Linked DNA regions of Drosophila melanogaster. Changing the gene in region 3 together with the main gene of any one other region gives a genetic interaction. Each region holds a gene or a part of one and is shown on either strand. Other genes may lie near its edges.

What was found.
Region 1: of sens (region 3) and Nf-YC, changing one suppresses a phenotype caused by changing the other (phenotypic suppression), as found in Drosophila melanogaster (one study listed by BioGRID).
Region 2: of sens (region 3) and msk, changing one suppresses a phenotype caused by changing the other (phenotypic suppression), as found in Drosophila melanogaster (one study listed by BioGRID).
Region 4: of sens (region 3) and pb, changing one suppresses a phenotype caused by changing the other (phenotypic suppression), as found in Drosophila melanogaster (one study listed by BioGRID).

What each region holds. Positions count from the first base shown.
Region 1 is NC_004354.4:6,817,658-6,822,582, reverse strand, and holds Nf-YC (nuclear factor Y-box C), read left to right. Parts: upstream 1-1,663; 5' UTR 1,664-1,856; coding exon 1,857-1,900; intron 1,901-2,058; coding exon 2,059-3,427; intron 3,428-3,489; coding exon 3,490-3,882; 3' UTR 3,883-4,405; downstream 4,406-4,925. Other genes in the region: xit (xiantuan), read right to left, coding at 1-211, 279-389, 453-1,367, 1,423-1,490; iav (inactive), read right to left, coding at 4,427-4,577, 4,638-4,858, 4,914-4,925.
Region 2 is NT_037436.4:8,114,636-8,122,118, forward strand, and holds msk (moleskin), read left to right. Parts: upstream 1-1,543; 5' UTR 1,544-1,804; coding exon 1,805-1,894; intron 1,895-2,669; coding exon 2,670-2,905; intron 2,906-2,960; coding exon 2,961-3,458; intron 3,459-3,521; coding exon 3,522-3,698; intron 3,699-3,911; coding exon 3,912-4,057; intron 4,058-4,109; coding exon 4,110-4,907; intron 4,908-4,969; coding exon 4,970-5,193; intron 5,194-5,276; coding exon 5,277-5,587; intron 5,588-5,642; coding exon 5,643-6,115; intron 6,116-6,179; coding exon 6,180-6,376; 3' UTR 6,377-6,944; downstream 6,945-7,483. Other genes in the region: Arp3 (Actin-related protein 3), read right to left, coding at 1-158, 395-709, 773-953, 1,047-1,090; ldbr (lariat debranching enzyme), read left to right, coding at 7,284-7,480.
Region 3 is NT_037436.4:13,395,717-13,402,766, forward strand, and holds sens (senseless), read right to left. Parts: upstream 5,410-7,050; 5' UTR 5,192-5,409; coding exon 5,032-5,191; intron 4,751-5,031; coding exon 3,669-4,750; intron 1,739-3,668; coding exon 1,588-1,738; intron 1,352-1,587; coding exon 1,119-1,351; 3' UTR 512-1,118; downstream 1-511.
Region 4 is NT_033777.3:6,739,056-6,743,863, reverse strand, and holds the start of pb (proboscipedia), read left to right. Parts: upstream 1-1,800; 5' UTR 1,801-2,696; intron 2,697-3,689; 5' UTR 3,690-3,764; coding exon 3,765-4,314; intron 4,315-4,808. Other genes in the region: zen2 (zerknullt-related), read left to right, coding at 1-615. UniProt on the Drosophila melanogaster protein: Sequence-specific transcription factor which is part of a developmental regulatory system that provides cells with specific positional identities on the anterior-posterior axis. Controls development of mouthparts, and labial and maxillary palps.

The DNA.
Region 1 (4,925 bases), on a different chromosome or scaffold from region 3:
CATGTATAGCCACTCCAGCGTGTGGAAGCCTCGGAAGCCGGGGAAGATGCGATACAGCTGGCCGTACATCATGGCCACGTACGACATGTACAGGGAATACCGGGGAATGTACAGATCCGCATCGAAGAGCAGCGGAAAGAGAGAGAAATAGCCGGCAATGCCAAGGACATAGGCGTATCTGGCATCCTCCCGGTTTACCAGCGTGAGCAGACTGAAAAAGGGTGGGCCTGTTAGTAGGATTCCTTCATTTCGAATTAACTGAGGGGAAGGGAACTCACCAGAGCGGAAGGAGCACCATTAAGATGGCCTTCTCGTGCACATGCCAGCCGAAGACGAAGGAGGAACAGCCGCACAAAACCACCGCTCGCAGGAAGACCAGCGGACTTTGTCTGCAAAGAGATGGCGGATAAGTTTGCTGCGATATCTTGGAATCCAAACGAGGATTTCCTCACTTCTTGGCACTGCGAAAGAGCTTCACCAAAATGGGCAGCATGAAGAGAGCGGTCAGGGCAAAAGTCACAGGCGGTGTGATGGCTGGCAGCACCGAGTGCCTGACCTCCTGGACCAATCCTGACGTCGTCGAGGCACCGCCATCCTGTACCTTCAAAACTCCGGCGGCCAACTTGTCGGCGGCATTGTACAGCGCCCAGAAGTTGGGTGCCCAGTAGGCGTGCGTTAGGCCACGCTTGAAAGGAAACAGACGGGAGAGGACTTGCGGCAATTGCTGCCAGAAGGGTCCGAAAGACACGGCGAACGGAGTAAGTCCAACGACCAGCAGCTTGACAACGGCACCCACCGCAGACACCACACTCGCTTGCTCCAGGCAATAGAAACGCAGCAGGTAGACCCCAAAAGCGGGCGCCATGTACAGAAAGATGTGCTTAAAGTTGAGCAGCACGGCGAAGGCAAAGGCGCTCCAGAGGAACCGCTGCCGGATGAGGGAACCGATGCTCAGGAGCAGTATGCCGAACAGCAAGCCATTGTACTGAAAGTGAATGTGGTCCACGAAGATCAATCCCACGTTGAGGAGCAGCAACATGGAGGCGGCAAAGAACTGCTGCGTATCCCTGCCCAATCCCAGTGAGCCCAGGCAGCTGCGCACGCCGAGCACATACACTAGATCCGTAACAATCACCGAGAGCCGCTGAAAGTAAACGGTGGCCTTGGACTCGTAATTCAGGTTATCCACCACCAGCATTCGTGGATCCACGTACTTGGCCACCTGCGAGAGCAGCCACTCGAAGTAGGCGAAGAACGGCGGATAGTCCAGTGTCCACTCGCTGGTGGCGTCCACATACCACTGATTCAGCGGCAAACTGTGGGTGATGGCCAGCCAGTTGCGATGGACTTCGAAATCCGTGGAATGGCTAAGGATGAAGTTGATTTAGTGGGCTTGATAAGTGGACAGAGCACTGCATTTACTAGGCTGGAATCAGCAGGATCTTTAGGCCGGTGGCTATGCCCACCAGGTGCCAGAAGAGGTCCTTCATCTTCGTTTCTCTCAGGGATTGGGATTGTAGTTTAGATTCGATGCATTCCTTATCAGCGGTAAGTGCTGTCCGATCTGGCTTGAAAGCGGGCAGAATGCGATTGTCGATTGTGCCGGCTAAATGTGGCTTGGAAGTAGCCAGTTAGCCCGACTAAAAGCTATCGTTATCGGGCTGTCCAGTTTTCGCCCTCACCGCCGCCTGGTCACACTGACGCTCGCGTGTATGCATGTGTGTGTGTGTGCATTACATTACGCATTTGCTTTGCGAATTAGAAGCTAATTAAAGCGAATATTGTGGACTCGAGCCGGTCGCCAGAGTCCCACGGTTGCCGCCAACGCCGAGCTAAGGTCTCCAGCCAACCGGGCCATGTACGCCACCAACAATGGCGGCACGAACAAGGCGCCAAACAGGTAAGTTCCGCCTCCGCCAGCAAAATCTAGCGCCCCTCCCCCAAAAAAACAGGCGGTACAGCCGAGATTTTTAGTGTGTGCGCCGATCCTTTTTGTTTTCATTCTGCGATTTGTGCATGCCAAATAATTTGAATGAAACTAATGTGAATGCCCTACAGCAATGCCACCTCCATGTTCGACAACACCATCACAGTGACGCCCATAAAGATGGAACTGGGCCAGGCGTATGCCAAATCGCAAAATTCAGCGGCTATGCAGCGAAGAACACCGAATGCAGTGGTGGTCACCTCCTCCTCCACCGTCTCCTCCGCCCAGCAGCAGCAGCAACAGCAGGGCCAGCAGCAACAGCAGACGGTTCCCATGGCCAGTTTGGTGTCCAACGCCTGTACGCTGGTTAATCCCAGCATGAGTGTGACGGTGGCCACCACCGTTGCGAGCGGCGCCAAGGAGAAGACCACGAAGGCCACACGAACTCAGGTGGCACGCAAACCGCCGCCCACCATCGACAACTTCTGGCCAAATATCGTGAGCGAGGTGCACAGCATCGGCCAGGTGGATGCCAAGCACCAGGTGCTGCCGCTGGCGCGCATCAAGAAAATCATGAAGCTGGACGAGAACGCCAAGATGATTGCCGGCGAGGCGCCGCTACTGTTTGCCAAAGCCTGCGAGTACTTCATTCAGGAGCTGACTATGCACGCTTGGGTGCACACCGAGGAGAGCCGGCGGCGTACGCTCCAGCGTTCGGACATTGCCCAGGCCATAGCCAACTACGACCAGTTCGACTTCCTCATCGACATTGTGCCGCGCGAAGAGATCAAACCGTCGTCGGCGCAAAAGACCAAGGATGGCAGTACATCCAGTTCGAGCGGAATGGCGGGCGCAGCCAGCAGTGCCGCCTCCACCTCCAACACAGCCACCTCCAATGCGGCCGCCTCCGTGGCGGGCAATGCTACCGCCACGGGCAACTTTGTAGCCAGTGGTTCCACCGTACCTGCGACCACCGCTGGTGGCCTCAAGCTGGACACCACGGGTGCAACCAATGCCGCCGAGGTGCTCGGCTTCAGCACTGTCAACTCGGACATCTTCTCAGCGCAACTGCAGCAGCAACAACAACAGCAGCAACAGCACGCCGCCCAGCAGCAGCAGCAACAACAGCAGCAGCAACATCACCAGGCACATCCACAGCAGGTTCAGATTATTCAGCAGGGCGCTGGTGGCCAACAGTTGCAATACTTTATCGCACTGCCGAGTCAGCAGGCGGCGCAGCTCGTGCAGCAGCCGCAGCCCGCGCAGAATCATCTACCCATCAACATTTTGTCAACCCAACAACCCACCCAGCAGTTGATACTGACCGCCGGTCCCAATGGTCAGCTGACCGCAACGCCAGCGCCGCAAACGACTGCCCAGCAACAGACGGCGCTGCTCCAGAATCTCGCCCAGCAGCAACAGCAGCACCAGCAACATCAGCAGCAGATTCAGCTGCTGCAGCAAGTGGTTACGCCCACGGGGGAGCTGACTAATGTGCCGGTAGGTATCACTTGAGGTAATTGTATTGAATCCCAGATTAAGACTTGCCTTTCCCATTGCAGATCGCCATCAATGCCAGTCATTTGAATCTCCTGCAGCGACTACAAATGCAACAGCAGCAGCAGCAGCAACAACAGCAGCAGCAACAGCAGCAGCAGCAACAACAGGTCATCATACCAACCCAACTGCTGACGACACAGCAACTGCTCCAGCTGGGCGGAGCACCCACAGTGGCCCATCAGCAGCAGCAGCAACAGCAGCAGCACGCCAATCTCACGCAGCAGAGCAACGCCAGTGCGGTGGCCAGTGGCACGCCGATCTTTATCAACTCGACCATGACTGGTGCCCAGGCGGCGGCGACGCAGGCGCAGCAGCAGCAGTCGGCGCAGCAGCAACAGGCACAAACGATCTCCACCATGTCCACGGATCGCACATTAACCGGCGGATTTCGGTAAAAGCTGGAAGTATGATATCCGTACCAACGGACGGACGGACAGACGGACAGTTGGCAATCATATCGAAAGCATCGGGAGGCATTGGAATCGGGCATTGGCAAGCGGGCATTGATTGCGCCATCCCCTGTCATCCAGCACAATGTATAATATTATAGTTTACGTAGGTGTATACGATTGTATATCGCGGGGGAGATTATATATAGCTAGTGTCTAAGTCGTAGGCATCTGTGTAGAAACGATTTCTCAATTGTAATTTATTGCTGACCCTCCCGCCCCCTGGCAGCAGGTTTCACCTTCTCCAAAAAAAAAAACCGCCACCTCCACCACTTTTAAACCTAGCACTTAGAGAGAATAATGGGAAATCGAGTGTATTAGTGTATGTATGTGACGGGTGACGGATGCCACCGGTCCAAAGCATAACCCAGCGTTTCGCGTGGCATCCGCGCTCTTTATTATGTATTTGTACTTCTAACTAAGCTAAGATCTGATAAACAATTATAAGCCACCAAGGACTATGTGCCAGAAACTCCTGCGCTAACTGTATTCACTTTCTGGCCAGGATCTTGTTGATGTCCTGCAGTTCGCGGGTGCTCCATGGTTCCAGCGGATCGGGCGGCGATTGCGTTCGCCGCGTGTAAGCGGAACGTCCCCGCTGGCTGCGCTCGTCCGGATCATCGCTTTGCTCCGGCGAAACTCTGGCGCCCAAGGAAAACGTGGGATTAAGATATGAAACGGACACTGGGATGGGAACTCACTTGTTTCGGCGACGAACACGAGCACTTTTGGCGCGACGAGCGGCCTCATCCTGTGCTGGCTGGCACTTGCGCAGGTGAAACTGCTTCATAGTGGCGTGCACCTCCTCCGCCGTGGGTATATCCTCGCTGTCCTGTCCACCATTGCCGTCCTCGGTCTCCACTTCGGCTTCCTGTTCGATGGTCAGCACCTCCTCCGCGACGGCTTCATCGAAGTGGAAGCCCTGCTAGTGGGTTTACATTTTGCACTCAGCTATTTCACTTTTTTTATCCACTCACCGTGTCCACATC
Region 2 (7,483 bases), 5.3 Mb from region 3:
TAGCAGTGCTTCTCCTTGATCGCTTTAGCAGTCTCGAGGCTCTGTTCCGGCGGAATGCCCACCTCCCGTTCGCGTAGCAGGCTCTGGATGAACGAGGTGATATTGCGGCCCGCGATGGGAATGTGCTTGATGCAGGAGCCGATCACATAGCCCTCGGCCTAGAAATGAAAAACAGCTTAATATATTTATATGGTTATAACTAATACGCTATTTTATCTTAATAATTCCCTCTTAATATAACATTCTGTAGTATTAATAATAGCCTCAGAATGTGCTATTTATTTATTAAATAAATCCGTCGACTGTTTCGGTTTTGGGTTCTCTTTTCAAACAGTTTTTACCGAATCCAGTGCCAACCCAACTCTGCTGATAAGATAAGATCTGTGCTACTTACCACGGGTATGACGTGCGTCACTCCATCGCCGCTGTCCACCACGATGCCTGTAAGGGTACGCTCCTCTGCGGACCGGGAGGCCCAACTGGCGGCTAGGGCAAGCACCGCCTGGACGGCGATATACAGACCAGGAACGTTGAACGTCTCAAACATTATCTCCGCGGTGTACTCCCGATTTTCGGGCGTATTTAGCGGCGGCTCAGTCAGCAGGAAGTAGTGATCCTCAGGCTCGGCGCGCAGATACTTAAAGACGCACTGCTCCAGAAAGCGCTCCATCAAGTCCCAGTCCTCCACCAGACCATGACGCACCGGATACTATTGGAATGCAATGATAAATGTGATGTCGGTTGCTTAATGACCATAGATACAAGAGCATACCTTGATGGAGTAGCCGGTGGCATCGAAGGCCTCATCGCCGATGAAGAAGTCCAGGTCCTCGATGCCCTTTGTGATGCGCCGTGTGTTGGTGTCTCCCACTCGTGCCGACTCCTTGATGGCAATCGCCGAGGGAATAATGAACTGCGGCTCTTTATTCCCGGCAAATCCCAGTTTGGAGTAGCTGATGGATGTGCAGACAAGCAGAGTGTTAGTCAGTCGACCTCCTTTCCGTCCAATTGGAGACCCCCACGGGCAATCGAAACTAAAAACTCACCCGGTGCCCACATCGATTACGCATGCCGGTAGCCTGCCTGCCATGGTCGCTGCTCGTCCTTTTGCCTTGCTGCCAGTTAAAGCTCTTCAGTTGCGATCTTCGCTCGCCTTTAACACAAATTTCCCTTCGTTTCAGTTGCAGATAAACCCAGATTTCTATATATTTTCAACCACACCTCCAACTATGTGTCACTTTGCTCTTCGTCACACACACATTCGCGTGTTCACGTACGAGCAGCTGCCAGGGCTGCAACAATCGATTGGCCATGCAACTTGAATGGCAATTTATCGGGAATTGTGAAAAGTCGCTGTTTTTTAAGCCTTTAAATATAGTTACCTTATGAAGCAAGTGGTCTATATATAAATGGTGCCTAGATTTTCCGCAGCGAAGGCTTTTCAATATTGCTCGAATTTTTGGCTAAACTGTTACCGGCGAACATAATGCAGCCCTGTAGGGCCCCATACACTGCGGCGTTAGTCAACACACACAGGCGCTGTTTCTTCTTCTTCTAAGCTTCGTTCGTCTCGCGAATTTCGGCGGTGTGTGTGTGCGTGTGTGGAGTCTTTTCCACGTTTTTTCCTCCGGAAAAAGAGATTTGCAATTTGGCCCACACATTGGAGCCACTGGTTCGGCTAGCATAAACCAAGGTCTATATAAAGGCAAGAACAGCGGGTGCACAGTGGGCACAAGGTGACCGCCAAACGACGAAGTGCAGCAGAAAGACCGGCGAAACATAGAATCAAGCAAAAGTAGCAAAAATGGAGGCACAAAAACTCACGGAACTGTTGCGCGCAACTATTGATCCGAATCCGGAACAGCGCAAGGCGGCCGAGGATCAACTGGCCCAGGTGAGTTTGCTCCCAAAAATAAACGCCTGCACTTGAATTCGAAAGGTCTTTGGAGGTGGCGCCATCGCCTGAAAACCATGTGCTTTTTTAATTGTTCGCTTTTAACCTCCCTCGCTCCCGCACTTCATCACTCTGGTCGTTGTACAAGTGTGTGGGTGTGGATAGTGTAATCCGATATCGGTCAAAAAGTTTGCCCTTTATGTGTTTACCATTATCCCGACTTCTATGTTGTTGCCCCAGAGGCAACAAGTCGATATCTTTGGGGCACCTACATATGTATGTATGCTATATATATTTCTATATGTGTACATATTTATTGCGAGTTTCGTGTGATTCTTCGGAAATCCACTGAATTGTTAATAAATATTTAATTGAGACTTTCGAAATATCGCCGGAATGCCCTTTGATTGAAGCTTACGCAATTCCCTTGGAAATAAATGTGGGCAATCAGAGCGGCCAGTCTAATTAGACCCCACCCCACTAACCAATTGCTTTGGCCCCACTGTAGAGGCATGCTCATTACGACTGAGTCAGCATCTAACGATTTGCATGCCCCTCCCAATCGCCTCCCACCAACCCCCCTGTTGTCAATTAACTTTATCAGCGCTTATGGCCAGCAGTTGTTCTTGGCTCCTCCATATTAATTGAGCTCTGTGAACGGAATTTAAAGTGCTTCTGCCATTGATTCTTTGACCAATTCAAATTTAACCCAACCCCAAACAGCTGTGTAAACATATCCATTCTATTTTATTTCTATACATTAAAATCCCCACAGATACACAAAATCATCGGATTTGTGCCCACCATACTGCAGATCGTTATGCAGACGACGGTGGAACAGCCGGTGCGCCAGGCCGGTGCTGTCTACCTCAAGAATCTGATCAACAGCAGCTGGTCGGACCACGAGGCCAAGCCTGGAGAGCCAATACCCTTCTCTATACACGAACAGGATCGGGCTATGATCCGTGGCGCTATTGTAGATGCTATTGTGCACGCCCCCGAGTTGATTAGGTGGGTAAATCCATTGAAAATCCTTTCCAGGGGGCTAATTTCGTTCTGTACACAGGGTCCAGTTGTCTGTCTGCGTCAATCACATCATTAAAAGCGATTTCCCTGGACGCTGGCCACAGGTGGTGGATAGCATCAGCATATATCTGCAAAACCAGGATGTCAACGGCTGGAACGGAGCTCTGGTAACCATGTACCAGCTGGTCAAGACCTACGAGTACAAGCGGCATGAGGAGAGGACGCCGCTAAACGAGGCAATGAACCTACTGTTGCCCATGATCTACCAGCTGATGGTCCGACTGCTGGCAGAGCAGTCCGAGCAATCTGTGCTGCTACAAAAGCAAATTCTCAAGATCTACTATGCCCTCACGCAATACACCCTTCCACTGGACCTCATTACCAAGGAGATCTTCTCGCAGTGGATGGAGATCTGTCGTCAGGTGGCTGATCGCGCAGTGCCCGATAGCTCGCACCTGGACGATGATGAGCGAACGGAGTTCCCCTACTGGAAGACTAAGAAGTGGGCCCTGCACATCATGGTTCGCATGTTCGAGCGGTACGTTGACGGCAGTATCTATAGTCATAGTCTAGATAACTAACGTTGTATGTATAAATTTAGTTATGGCAGTCCCAGCAATGTGGTTAGTGAAAAATACCAAAAATTCGCAGAGTGGTATCTGCCCACGTTTAGCCAGGGCGTGCTGGAGGTGCTCCTCAAGATCCTCGACCAGTACCGAAACAGAGTCTACGTCTCACCACGCGTCCTCACTGATGTGCTCAACTATCTGAAGAATGCGTAAGTAATTTAGTATTCTATAAATTCTCATGTGACATTTGATATATAGTTGGAATGTAAAATCGATGTTACTTAATTAGGAGATACCTAATCTTTGATAGAAAGTCTGAAAATTTTTAAAGCTGATAAGATGTAGTGTTTATAATTGCAGTTACAAAAGTCGATTCCAATCAGTTGACTCGTTTTTTTAAATGTTATTTATTCCGTTTGCAGGGTTAGCCACGCCTACACCTGGAAGCTGATTAAGCCTCACATGGTGGCTGTCATCCAGGACGTGATCTTTCCCATCATGTCGTTTACTGACTCCGATCAGGAGCTCTGGGAAAGCGATCCCTACGAGTACATTCGCCTTAAGTTCGGTAAGAGAACTTTTTAAATGACTTGAACTACATTACTAACCGATTCCAATAGATATCTTTGAGGATTATGCCACACCTGTACCGGCAGCCCAATCTCTGCTGCATTCTATGTGCAAAAAGCGCAAGGGCATTTTGCCCAAGGCAATGGCCACAATTATGCAGATAATTACATCGCCGAATGCGGACAACAAACAGAAAGATGGTGCCTTGCACATGATTGGAACGCTGGCGGACGTACTGCTGAAGAAGGCTTCGTACCGCGACCAAGTGGAGTCCATGCTGACCACCTACGTCTTCCCAGAATTCCAAAATCCCGCGGGCCACATGAGAGCGCGCGCGTGCTGGGTGCTGCACTATTTCTGTGACGTTCAAATCAAGAATCCCCAAGTGCTGGCCGAGATAATGCGTCTGACCACAAACGCCTTGCTTACCGACAAGGAGCTGCCCGTCAAAGTGGAGGCAGCTATCGGTCTGCAGATGTTCATATCGTCCCAGGACGAGGCGCCGCAATACGTGGAGGCACAGATCAAGGAGATCACCAAGGAGCTGCTTACCATCATTCGAGAGACGGAGAACGAAGATCTAACAAACGTTATGCAAAAGATCGTGTGCACCTTCACCGAGCAATTGCTGCCCGTGGCCACCGAGATCTGCCAGCACCTGGCCACCACCTTCAGCCAGGTCCTAGAATCTGAGGAGGGATCCGACGAGAAGGCCATCACGGCCATGAGTCTGCTTAACACTATCGAAACTCTGCTCAGTGTGATGGAAGAGCATCCTGATGTCCTGCTTAACTTGCACCCGATCGTCATTAATGTTGTCGGACACATTTTCCAGCACAACATAACTGGTTAGTTGGCTGTGCCCTCAATCGTTGATATCGTTTATAAAAATATCTGGTCATCTCTTCAGACTTCTATGAGGAAACCTTCTCCCTGGTCTACGACCTGACAGCCAAGGCCATTTCCCCCGAAATGTGGCAGATGCTGGAGCTCATCTATCAGGTGTTCAAGAAGGACGGTATTGACTACTTTATCGACATTATGCCTGCTCTGCATAACTATGTGACGGTCGACACGCCCGCTTTCCTCTCCAATCCCAACAGGCTGTTGGCGATTCTCGACATGTGCAAAACGGTAAGCTTCTATTCTTAATAATTAAATATGTCTGAACCTCGAATAACTATAATAATAATTATAATAATTATAATTTATTTTAGATGCTTACTAGTAGCCCTGGCGAGGATCCCGAGTGCCATGCCGCCAAACTGATGGAAGTGATTATCTTGCAGTGCAAGGGTCAAATCGACTCAGTGATACATATGTTCGTGGAGCTGGCTCTGTCCCGGTTAACACGTGAAGTTCAATCCTCAGAGCTGCGCACTATGTGCCTGCAAGTGGTAATCGCGGCACTCTACTATAATCCCCAGTTGCTGCTGTCCATTCTGGACAAAATGTCCCAGCAAAACAACGACTCTATCAGCGCGCACTTTATCAAGCAGTGGCTTCACGACACGGACTGTTTCCTAGGGTAAGAATGGACATGCTTTTTAATGATCTAGATAGTTTATTGTTACGTTTTCCAGCATCCACGATCGCAAACTTTGCGTCCTGGGTCTGTGCACCCTCATCTCGCTGGGCGAAGCCAAGCCCCAGGTTCTGAGCGAAGTGGCTGGAAAGATTGTGCCCGCACTTATTTTGCTTTTCGATGGTCTAAAACGCGCCTACGAGTCTCGTGCTCAGGAGGAAGAGGAAGATGAGGAGGAGGAGGACGGTGACGACTGTGAGGAGGCTCTGTCCAGTGACGAGGATGACATGGACGAAATGGCACCGGACTATCTGGATAAATTGGCCGAATTTGCCAAAACCAAGGGCAATGAGTCGGGCTTCGAAGTGAAAGCCGAAATCAAGGACGACGATGCTGACTCGGACGGTGACGCCGAGGAGTCTGTGGGTGATCTGAACGAGACTGGACTGGAGTCGTTTACCACGCCCATCGACGATGAGGAGAACGAAAGCGCCATCGATGAGTACTGGACGTTTAAGGAAGTTATTACTGGTAAGTTGTGCTGAATTTTGTACACCATTGGAAAACTAACTAATAACCTAATCTTCGCCATCAGCACTTTCTGCACAAGACCAAGCCTGGTATGCGCTGTTGACCTCCAACCTCACACCTGAGCAAGCCAAGGCGCTGCAAGAGGTGGTGGTGACGGCTGACCAACGCAAAGCCGCCAAGGAATCGAAGCTGATCGAGAAGCAAGGTGGCTTCGCCTTTCCGCAGACTGCCGTGCCCACGTCGTTTAAGTTCGGCTCCTAAGAAACTGAATTGACCAGATCACCAGACACTTGGTTCGATTTCTGACTTGATTGTTTCTCATATTCTTTCCAAAAATAACAAAAACATCAAACAAAATACATCTGGCATGCTGATGATGGCTTTGAAGGCATTCTCTTGGTTTTCGTACACTCCGTGTACCCATGTATGCTGCGACAATCGGTCGATTAATCAGATTAAAAAATCGATCGGTCGAGCGGCGACGAGACCGCACTATATTTATTGTAGATTTATATTTTATTTCCTATTTTGTGGCCAGGGCGGCCAACTAAATTATGATAACTTAAGTCCATTGTAAATCTTTGTATGTAAACGAAACGAAACGAAACGAAAAACAAACACGTCAGGACGAGAAGGTCTCATTAAATGAGATTGTGCCCACCAGCACGCCCCCGTAGAACTCCAAAAAAAAGTTGGCATCTAGGTCAGAGAATGAGAATTCAACGCAGAGCATTTCACATACATTTTCTTTATACACACATACACGTATATTCTGTACTAAATGAAGCGATATTTTTGAAAAATAAAAAAAAAAAATTTTTAACGTTTGAACTGGAGAAATCTTTTTCTTATTTGTGTACCTTTTTGTGAGGTATTTAAACCGTTCAGGGAACGAATTTTATAAGTACATCTAATATATATAATTATATTTAATAATGCTAAGTGCTGAAAGACTTTGTTTCCGGAAGATTTCAGCAGTTTAAATATTGGCGGTCATTAAGTAGAGTTATCGATAAGAGCGTCCATCCTGTCGTTCCCCAAAGACGTTTTCTCACACTGAATTGCCGATCGATAAGCGATATCAGAACGCGTTATTTGTTTGGACAACCGGTTGCATTTGTTTACAACCAAGTTTTATTTATAAAGTAGTAACTTACCTTTATTAACCATGAAAATAGCTGTCGAAGGATGTGCACATGGCGAGCTGGAACGAATATACGACACCATAGAGGGCATCGAAAAGGTTGGCGGCACCAAGATCGACTTGTTATTGTGCTGTGGCGATTTTCAGTCCACCCGGAATCTGGAGGATTTGCAGACGATGGCTGTACCAAAGAAGTACCTGGATATGTGCTCCTTTTACAAGTG
Region 3 (7,050 bases):
GAACACTTATTGGCGTTTTCCCCAAGGATCGGGCATGCAAGTGGGCCGAGGGGGATGTGTACCTGCTGTAACGCGGCGACTTACAAAGGGCATTCCCCAAATGCCACATTGGGCACAGATCAAAGATCACCGCGTCACCCGAAACAGGAGCAACTTATTCCCCATCAATTGAGTACGTGCAGAAATTCATCTATAAAATCAGGTTTACGAACAGGCCCCCGAAAAAATATTTGGAGCGCTTTGGACAATTTGTATCAAAATGTGGTACTTCAAAGGAGGAGGCTGTGTCCTTGATACTAAGGAATTTCTCAGCTGCTCAAGGGGTTGATCGTAATAATGAGATATTTAACCCACCCGATGTAAAAACTTTTTGAATTAATAATACATACCAAAAATATATACATATGTATTAATCATATCATGTGTATTTTCTGATATGCCTGAGGATTTTGTATAAAGGAATCAATCAATCATTCTAGATATTTTATCCTTAAAAAAACCCATATATTTTGTTTGTTCTCTTTTAGCTTTCAACTTTATTTTCCAAAAATCATATACGCTCCTAATAAATATAATTACAATAAGTCATTGGGCTTATTACAAAATAAGAATAAACTAAAAATTCGCATAGATCGTATAAATAAATGTGGGTGATGCCATCAATAAACTTAAATAAATTAGGAAACTAAATTTAGACAAGTGGTCGCCAAGTGGTAGTTCATTTGTTTGAGGTTGTTCTTTGGTACGTTTAGCTGCCAATTTTGGGTTAAGTTTGAATCAAATCAAAAACGCTTTATGCAATAAATTAGATTAATCATTAAGCTAGGGTTTAACGGCTATAAAAAAGAGTCTTGTTTGGGATAACTATGTACAGACTTAAGGCAGTATCTTAGCTAATATGTTTTAACAATAATTCTTACGATTAGGTAAATCTTTGCGAAGGCCTAAACAAAACAAACTTTGGCTTCATAGCAACGACTTAGACTTAGGGCCAACTGTGATCTGCTCCACCTTCATCATCATCATCATCATCATCATCATCTGGTTTTGAGTGTGTGTCTCGTCCTGCTTAGCTAATACTGGGATCTCCTGGATCAGAGATTGCCGCCTAGCCTCGGTCAGCAGCTGCTGCTGCTCACCTCCATCTTCAGGGGCTTCAGGTCCTCCACTGGCGGAGCCTCCTCATGGCGGCTCTCTCGATGACGTCGCAGATCCACCTTGCGCTGGAAGGACTGATCGCAAAGGTGGCAACCGAAGGGTTTATACCCCGTGTGCTTCCTCATATGCGTGATCAGGTTGGAGCTCTGGCTGAAGGCCTTCAGGCACACGGTGCACTTGTGTGGCTTCTCGCCTGGAATCGCAGGAAAATCAATAAACACAATTAGTTAAATGCCGCTTCAAAGTTTATTAATTGTGGCCGAGAGGCGGCGGCAGCTTTACAGCAATTAGACAAATTGAAAGGCGATAGGGATCTGTGTGTGTGCTCAAGGGTGGCTCTGTTTGCACCACGTTCTGACACATTTGCCGAGGAATAGTTGGATACTCTCCCCATGGACTAGCTTTGATTTCACCGAATATTCAACTTACCGGTATGTATGTACGTGTGCTTTTTCATGTCCGACTTTTGGTGGAACCGCTTGCCACAATATTGGCAGGGATATGGCCGTGTATCGCTGTGGATGAGCAGATGTGTGGACAGGGTGGACGAACGCTTGAAGCTCTTGCCACACTGTTTGCACTAAAAAGAAAGACATAGACAATAGAAAAATACATTATTAACACCACATTCAGACAGAACGAGTCATGATTATTGGAACTCAGAATACCCCATATTTGCACAGCTTGAGCATATTCACACCAAAAAGCCAAATAATCAAAAAATCAGAAAAGAATTTATATATAAATTCACCGTTTTTGTGTGCCTGAGCCAAATTCGCAGTGGCAACATGAATTAAACTAGATTTGTGAGTGCTCAAATATTTGTTAGACAAGTGACGACAAGGGAAAACCCAAACCAAGCCAAACTTGGTTAGCCCACATCCAGGCGACAAATAATCTAGAACCTTAGCCATTTCTCAGCGCTGAAACCAGCTAGGTAAATATCTCGGCCCAATGCTAAATCTCAAGTGAGACACTTTCCAGGGAGCTTTAGCCATGCATATATGTACATACATTGTATATACCGCAGTATTTGTGGGCCAAACACAGCTGGGATCCACGGGGAATCGATCGCGGGGATTGGACGAATCCAGTGGCTGTAACATCTTCGGTTGTCAGATTAAATGTTTGAACAGTTTGCCAGTTGCAGCAACGTTGCAAGTAACCAAACATTGACATAACACAACTCAAATCGTCGGCCTACGTGGGCGACATTTATATTAAACACGAAAACATGAAAACAACGAAAAGTAAAACACAGAAATGGGTGAAAAAAATGTGAGACAATTTTTTTTTTGAAAAACCCGCATGGTCTACGCGTAATTGTAAATTGACACAAGTGTCGGTTTTTTAAAATTTCTTTCTTATTGATTTTTATGTTCTCTTATTTTTTTATTTTTTACGTTTTTTTTTAGCCTTGTTTTTGGGATTTTCTATTTGCGCATTGCATTCGCGTGGACCATATCCACTACACACATTGGCTAGACTCAGACCCAATTAGTTGCTCTATTGTTAAGCTGCGCTCAACTGCCTGAGCCATAATGTCAATTTGCTTAGCTCTGACAACGGAACGGAAGTTGGCAAAGCTCGAAAGGCAAAAAAAAAAAGAAAAAACGAGCAGGGAAACAAAAAAAGAGTTAAGGAGAAACCCCAAAGTCTGAGTCAGCCGGGTGGGCCTCCAATGGTGAACAGATGTAAAGCACGAATTACAGAAAAAATTCGATTTTATACATAAACAGCTGAAGAACAGTGACTGCGCCTGCGCAAAGGACTCTGGCAACTGTCTTCGTCGGCTTTTTGACCATATGTCGGTCCGGTACTGAAGCCCGAAAACCTATCGCATTTCACTCTGACCCTTTAATGTGTGAAAAAAAAACTGGAAAAAGATGTTAAAAAAAAAAAAAATAAGGACTCGCGGCGGGTGTTGATGGATATAAACGCAATATGACATCGGGGTAGGCATAAGGCCTATTAGGGTAAGTCGTCTCAAATTCCTGAGGGTCGTGTGCCCTCTTACCTTTTGCACAATCCAATATCGAATTATTATGATTGTAATTTGTACATAAATCTTCGAGGGCGAGTTATGCCCCCCACCGCACTGGCGCTAATCAAAATTATTTGATTAACTAATTGCGTGATTTCGATGGGACTTAATTGAATTTCCATAGAGCTCTATCGGTTTGGCTTGTATTACCAACTTTATGACAGTATTTGCTGTGCCACTTTTCCAAATTGAAAGTGGTATTGGTGGGGTTTTCGGCTCGGCGACAATTAAAACCCGCACGGACAAAATATGAAACAATTAACACAGGGGAATTGTCGAGGACACGCAACCTTATGCAATGATACGAACAGTATTCGTTTTGGGTTATAGATCATGGTCCTTCAGGACACGTGATAAGCCCATTAAAGCGGGCTGGGGGCTCAGAGATTTTCAAGCGATTTGCCCTCGATTTCCTCTTCATATTTCCCTACCCCTCGACGCGTTTATCCTGTTTGAGTTTGCTTACCTGGAAATTCCTGCCGCTGCGCTTCTCTTCGTTTTCTCCTTGGTAAGATGACGAGGAGGACGAACGACGCGCAACATCTGTGGCCGTCGAGTCAGGATGTTGCTGCTGATGCTGATGTTGCTGCGGCTGCTGCTGGTGATGCAACTGTTGTTGCTGCTGCTGCTGCGGCTGTTGGTGTTGATTACGCATGTAGCCGAATTCGGCGGCTGCCACCAAATTCATGAGTGCCGCTGCCGAGCGGTTATCCTGCTGCTGCTCGTCCTTGATGCGATGCTGTTGCTGCTGCTGCTGCGGCTGCTCGCTCTTCAGCTTCAAGTGCTGGGTGAGCAGCTCCAGATTGTTGCCCGTCAATCCGGCCATGAATGCGCTGCGATGGGCATACAACTGCTGTTGGGCCACCTCGAACTCCAGATCCTGGACGGCATTCGAGGCGGGAGCGGACAGCGAGGAGATCGGCGATTGCAGCGAGGATATGGATGCAGTTCTGCGCTCATACTTGAACTTTCGCACAATAGGATCCACCTGGTGCTCCTCCTCATCGCCCTGCTCCTCCATCTTCAGGCCGTACTGCTCCCTTCTCGCCGATCTCTCGCACATCGAGGCCGGTGACCAGATGATGTTACCCTGCGATCTCTGGCGCTGTTGCTGTGGTGTACTCGAACTCTTTAGATTCACAGCGCTCAGGGGAGGCGGGGTAACGTTCAGCGAGGTCATCGGATGCAGTTGCTCCACTTCACTGCTGGAACTGCTCCTGCTGCTGTTGTTGCTGCTGCTGTGATACTGATCTCGGTTGGAATCATCCGATGTGATGCGCTCCTTGGTGCTTAGATTTAGTGGCATATCCTCATCCTGCTCCTGATAGTCCTGCTTGCTGTTCTCATTGTTATTGTTCATTTGGAGTTCATGCTCCTTTTCGGGCGTCAAGGCAAAGTCACGATCCCGCTGACCCAAAACCACAGAGGCGGGCGATTTGGGGGTCATGGGGGTCAGTGGTGTACCCAGAGCCGTGGCCGAGGACAACAAAAATTGGGGCCACAGTAGGGCACTCGAGTAGAGCAGCGGGTTGTACAAAAAGGGCAGATCTATGAAATGCAAATTTAACGAATCAGTTGAATAGTAGTGATTAAGATTAGGAAGGAAAAGTATCCTCAGGATGCCTATCAATATAAAGTTACTCTTGTATTGGTAAGAACTACAGTAAAGTTAACATAATTTTTCTGATCTGTTGAAAGTGTTAACATTTTGATTTTAAATCGAGTGATCTTTTAAATACAATTCGAAACGATTAAAAAGCTATAAGCTAATCTTTTTGCTATCTTTACTGCCCCATATATTTTTCTGTCAATCCAGATCGGGAACTCACCTCGACCATTGAGTTTCTGTGCTGCGGCGGAGGCTATCACAGTGTTGAAGGCGGATGCCCGCTGCATCCACTGCTTGTCCAGAGCTGCTCCATGGCAGCCCAATCCCGCGGGACTCGGCTGCTGGGAGTGCGGCGATGGCGGCGGCGATAGGTGATTCATTTTGATTCTGGATCTTTACTTTTTGGAATCTCACTGGATCTGATTTACGTATTTGCTTTAACAGTCTTTGGATTGTGATTTTTCTCAATACTGTTCACTGCACAAATCTCACTTTCTTGGCGTTGTGATCTTGGATTCGAACGGATCTTCGATGGGTCTTATTCAGTGCGGTTTTATCTTGACTCACTGGAGACGAACACGTCCGTATCGCTCGGTGCTTCGCACCTGACTGAATCTTTGGTCGATGGCTCAGTTCTAAATTGAGCCAACGGTGAAGCGACTTGGCCCGAAAAAAAGGTACAAATCGAGCTCTCTTTTTTTTATTTTTGTGTGCGACTGTGGTTACTTGTGGCACTGTGTGAGTGCGGCAGCAAGCCGAATCAAAACGAGCCCTCGGTGTATTGGTGTTGACTCTTTTGGTGGTGGCTCTCGAGAGCCCTGCAATGTATTGTTGGTGTTGGTGTTCGTGTTGCCAACTCTGGTTTTTCACCTTTGGCAGCAGTTGGCGGCAGTTGCAGTCCTGTGTTCCATGTTGTATGGGTCAAGACGCACAGTTAGGAGTCCCCTGGCGATCTCGATACCCCAACCCCCTGCGTTCGTATCCTCTTGGCCCATCTACTACTGGTTTTCCAGCACGCGTTTCCCTACTAATTGGTATGCACTTAAAGTTTGGCGGGCGTTTGTTATCCTTTTCCCGCTGCCCTGTAACAGTTACAATTGCCTTTGCTCTTTCTGTTGCTGCCACCAACTGTTGTTGGCTCAGGAATATCGGGATCGGTACTTTGGCCAAGGGAGAAGAAGCGAGAGAGGGCCAGCAATCGGCAGAGGATTTCACTGCTGATCGGTGGAAGGGGGGAGAGGACGAGGGCGGGATGGGGCGGGGTAGCATACAAATATTTAGGTGGATGAATCCAAGGATCTAACATCTGTCGTGGCAACTCTCCATGTTTGTAGATACTGTTTAGATTACCTTTAGATTTGACAAGGATTACAAATGGGTTCCTAATTTTGAATGTGATGAAAATTAATTTTTGTATTAATTATTAAAAATACATTGCGAGTAAAATATAGGAGAAATTAAGTTTAAATTCATTTTTATTTGCGCTTCTCCCAATAAGGGTAAATAGTTTAAAGCAACATCGTGAATTTAATCTTTAAGCTTTAGACTTCATCCATAAAAAGTGTTATTACATTTTAGAGGATTGACGTAAACCTACTTCACAACCAATGCACAAATATATAAACTTTATTTAAATTATTGTAGAATTTTTTTTGTTATATTTCTATATAAAATCTACCTTACCAAAATGACATATTTGATTATAATAATGTTACATTTAAATACATAAGATTAGGACAGATTTTATTTAATAGCTATCAAAATATCAGATTTCCCATTTAAAACCGTTTTAACAAATAGTTTGGTTTGGTTTCAGAACATTAACTTTCAACAAAGTTTTTGTTAAATTTCTCAATGCAAACTTTGCAGTTCGTCGTATTTTCCTAAAGCATTTCAATAAAATTAAAAGACTGAATTCTTTTGTCAGTCAATTTAAAACCAATACCAAACTCTAAGCCATAAAGTCCCCATCTTCTCGTTGGATCGTAGCTATTAAACCACTCAGATAGGACGACTGAGCACCTGCCACTTTCTCCCTCTACCGCTCGATGCACCTTTTTCCGAGCTTATCCTTGATGAGAGTTCGGGGTCCTCCTCCTGAGTTGGTAGCTCGCCACGCTTGGCCACCTCGTCTTGGCCGCCTCAATTCCAGTTTATCTATCCTTGGCGCGGGCCACACCTGCCTAGAAAACGAGCCAAGAAAATGTGGCGGGCGCACACTTACACTTCCACATTTAAC
Region 4 (4,808 bases), on a different chromosome or scaffold from region 3:
GCATTCAGCAGTCTTCAGCTAATCGAACTAGAAAGGGAGTTCCATCTCAACAAATATTTAGCCCGAACCAGGCGAATCGAGATATCACAGCGTTTGGCACTCACAGAGAGACAGGTTAAGATCTGGTTCCAAAATCGTCGCATGAAACTCAAGAAGTCGACCAATAGGAAGGGTGCCATTGGAGCGCTGACCACATCTATTCCACTTTCTTCCCAGTCGAGCGAAGATCTTCAAAAGGACGACCAGATCGTAGAGCGTCTCCTTCGATATGCCAACACAAATGTGGAAACAGCTCCACTCCGGCAGGTTGATCACGGTGTCCTGGAGGAGGGTCAAATTACACCACCCTATCAGAGCTACGATTACCTCCATGAATTTTCTCCTGAGCCCATGGCTCTTCCCCAACTGCCCTTCAATGAATTCGATGCTAACTGGGCGAGTTCATGGCTGGGCCTTGAGCCAACGATTCCTATCGCAGAAAATGTAATTGAACACAATACACAGGATCAGCCAATGATACAGAATTTCTGCTGGGACTCGAATAGCTCTTCTGCTTCATCGTCGGATATTTTGGATGTTGACTATGACTTTATTCAAAATTTGTTGAACTTTTAAATATATCTTTGACTATATGTTTAGGCAACTGTACATACATACATATATAATCATTGTATTATACGAGCAATATCTTTCTGTGACTACATTATTATTACTTATTTTGGATGAAATAAAATATGTTTTATAATTAATGTGCGCATTTATTTGTTCAAACAAAAAATGCTGGTTGTGCAGCATTTGGGGATACATTTTGCGGACTCGATTTTCAAAAATTTCACCACCAGACAAATCAAATATTTTTAGACAAAATTCCATTTTAGTGGGCGATACAGTTGAGAAACTAAATAAGCTTGACTTGTTAAAACATTTATTTATATGATATTTATAATGAATGGCCTTGGCTTTTTATTTTACTTAATGCTTCCTCAAAGTTTCTGTATTTTTCACACATATATCTTTTTCACAATTTTAAACAATCTCATGGTGCGCATCGTCATTACGTAGACTGCCGATCACATAGCTCCCTGCTGTCAGACAACTTGTTCGTCAGAGCGTCCAAGTACGAACACCACCCCCAGCTGCAGTGCAAAATCGTGGCAATATTTTTACACCTGTAGTGACACCCGTGTGCATTAAAATCCGCACATAATTACAAACTCTGCGCGGACTGGATTGGAGAACGTTAGCAAAAAGAGGGCGAAAAAGCGGCCAAAAGGCAAAAAGCAATGCCACCAAGATTGACAGGAGAAGAGGCGCCCAAAACAAAAAGAGCGATGAGCGAAGCAAAATGTCAAAAATACCCATAGCCGAAAGCCAAAAAAGCCGGAGAGCGAGAAACTCGCTACTGTGGCTTTTTCTTTTCATTTTTTAGCAGATGCGAAATGTGTAAATAAGAAAAACCAAATAAATTCCGTCACAAGCAACACGTTCGCGTTGGAAGTGGAAAAAAGTGAATGAGGCAAGAAAACGCCGCGGAAATGATGGCCCAAGATACAGGGGTTCCCGAGCTACACGACCGCAAAGATACAAAACAAACTGCCGAGCCGGCCAATCAGAGGGCCGGAGACTTGTGCGCCGGTGTGTGTGAACTCCACCCCCTGGTCTCTGCGCGTAATGGCTATAGTAACCAGTTTCCAGATGGCACCGCGCATGTGCCGACCAGGAAAAAGCGTGATGGATGCGGTGGCTGTCGCTTAGGCCACTCCTTGATACTGGGTCCCAAAATCCCAGTTCAGTGCGTTCGGTGCTATTGGATGGAATGGTTGTTGGCTGCTATCTAGCTCTCGGGAACCGCACGAAGCTCCCCAAAAGCCCTCTGTCTCGCTCTCGCTACGAATCGGTTCGGTATCTAAAAAATAATATTTATTAAAATGACAGCTACAAAAATAGTTCAAAAATTTTGAAAACTAAAAAGTGATATTATTAAAACGAGTTGAAACCAAAAGTTTTACTATACGGTTGAGAAGCACTTTAGGAACCCCTGGAAACCCGGTTCTGCGCACCTCTTGAAGGCCAGAGAGGGACAGCTAGTGCCCACATGTGTATGAGTGCGAGTGGAGAAAACTATCTCAGACGAATTGCAACGACTGAGTGTGTGTCTGTGTGTGGCCATTGCAGCGATCGCAGCGACTCTACAAAACTCTACAAAATCAACACATTCCGCATACGCACCGTTGTACAGCGCGTACTTGCACTATTGTCGTTATCGCCGTTGTTTCGTCGGTTGTGTTGGCCTTTCGCGTCGCCATGGCTGCCAAAAGGTGTGTGTCTATGTCAACCTGAAAGCGAAAAACCAACTCCAAACACCACTTGACGGTTGAGCAAACACAACGGTGGCCATATTTACATTCGGATCTGGGTTCCCTCGCTCTCGTCGCGGTTGTCGCCTCTTTTCGCGGCCCACAGATAAGCCCTGACACACTGAAGTTTTACGCAAAACCCGCATCGCAAAAGTTGTGCCGGTTGAAACTAAAAAAAAAAAACAAACAAAAAGTTAAGCCAGTTACTATGAGCGAGTGCAGACAATAGTGAAAACGGTGACCCAAGTGATACCGGTGAAATTTCCACAAAGAACGCATATGTCAACGTAAGAGGAGAAATATGGAATACTGTGGTCTGTAAATGATCAACTTAATATGGTACGAAATTATCTTACACATATTTCTTACCTACATTTAAAAATAAGTGTATCCTTTTAAAGCACGAGAAAATCAAAGCGTGTCGTTATTTCGTTTTTGATACAACATGTTAGTCTAAAATACGAGCCTTTTAAGTCGGCAAAATGTTTACTGCAAGAAATATTTCAAATCTTTAATTGGCGGAATCGGAAAATATATTCGAATTTTCTTATTCATTTATACTTCCTAGGAAATTAGCTATGCGGCATTTCTTAGATGAGGATATGTAACAGCTTTATAACTTTTTCTGTTTAAAATATGTTAATTTATTTACTGACTATTAATCCTTAAAAAAATAATGTAAAATAATGTATGCGAACCAAGCCAATTTAGGTAACATTGTAGGACAGGTTGTATGTATTGTACATACATACAATACATATTGTCAAATCTCAATCGAAATTAGGTGGCCATAAATTTAAAGTGAAGGCCTAACAATTTCTATAAGAGCAATAGTAAAAATGCAGACTACAAATGAATTTCTGGCACAGAAAACTGAGAGACTAATGAAATATAAATTGGAATATGTAATTTAAAAATAGTCAAGTTTTTGACAGTTGCAATGTGAAAAATTGGATCGGTAATAATAAAATAAACATTGATTAGCATAGTAAAGTGACGATGTTTTTGTTTCTTAAAATGTTAATGAAGATAATGACATATCTTAATGAAGTATATACGTACATTATATTGAAATTATATATATTCAAAATATATAAATAAAAATTCAAAAATTATAAATATAATAATAAAATAAACATTGAATAGCATAGTAAAGTGACGATGTCTTTGTTTCTTAAAAGGTTAATGAAGATAATGATAACATATCTTAATGAAGTATATACATACATTATTCAATTTCACATTCGATAAGAACAGTGAAACCTCTAACTTCCTGGGAACTGAATCGTGATAACATTATTATGAGATTACAAAAATGGCTTTCCTTTCCAGGTTCCCAAGCTGAGGAACATCTAATACGCTCAGGAATTGAAATAGAAAGAATCTAAAAAAAATTATACCCAAGCTATGCAAGAAGTCTGCAGCTCCTTGGACACGACCTCAATGGGCACCCAAATCAAATCGGAATCTCCACTCAACCCGCTGCAGGTGCAAACTGGACAGACGTCCCTGCCAGTGGGTGGTTGCGGTGGTGCGGGCGTCGTGGGTGGTGTGGGTGGCGTGGGAGTGAGTGTTGGTCAGCCTGGTATCGGACAGCAGGGGGTGCCACCTGTGCCGTCGGTGCTCATGGTCAACAAGATGACCCCGAACTGTGATAAACGGAGCGCGGACACGGCCTATTGGATGACAGCATCCGAGGGCGGGTTCATCAATTCGCAGCCGTCGATGGCTGAATTCCTCAACCACTTGAGTCCGGAGAGTCCCAAAATCGGAACACCTGTTGGATCCGGCGCCATTGGCGGAGTAGGCGTCAACGTTAATGTCAATGTCGGCGTCGGAGTCGGATATCCGGTTGGCGTTGTCCCTCAAACGCCGGATGGAATGGACTCGGTGCCGGAGTATCCCTGGATGAAGGAGAAGAAGACATCCCGCAAGAGCAGCAACAACAACAATCAGGGTAAGTCCACATGCACATTACACTGGGGGAAGCATAAGGTTTTTAATTTAGCGATCGACCATGTCAATTTGAACACCATTCTCTGAAGAATAGGCGATAATCTCATCAGTCCATCTCAAACTATTGAATCAATCAAATAAAAAGTAAGATATTTTTATAGACACTTTTCCATATCAGTTTAGACCGGAATCAATTGGGTTCTCTTGTCCCGGCCATTTTTTCTTGCCGTGTACTGGCTGGTGAAATGCGAAACTCTCATTAATCACGAGCTCACAGAAACCTAAAGACTCCAATAGCGCCAATTATGCCACTACGAAGTCCCTCTGGCACCTGGTTTCGAAGTGATGAAGAAAGAGCCAGTGCTTTCGCTGACCATTTACAAAATGTATTCCGACCAAATCCCTCTACCAACACATTTATTCTCCCTCCTTTAATAGCAGCCAATCTAGATCCTCAAGAACCCTTTGAATTCCGACCATGTGAACTAGCAAAGG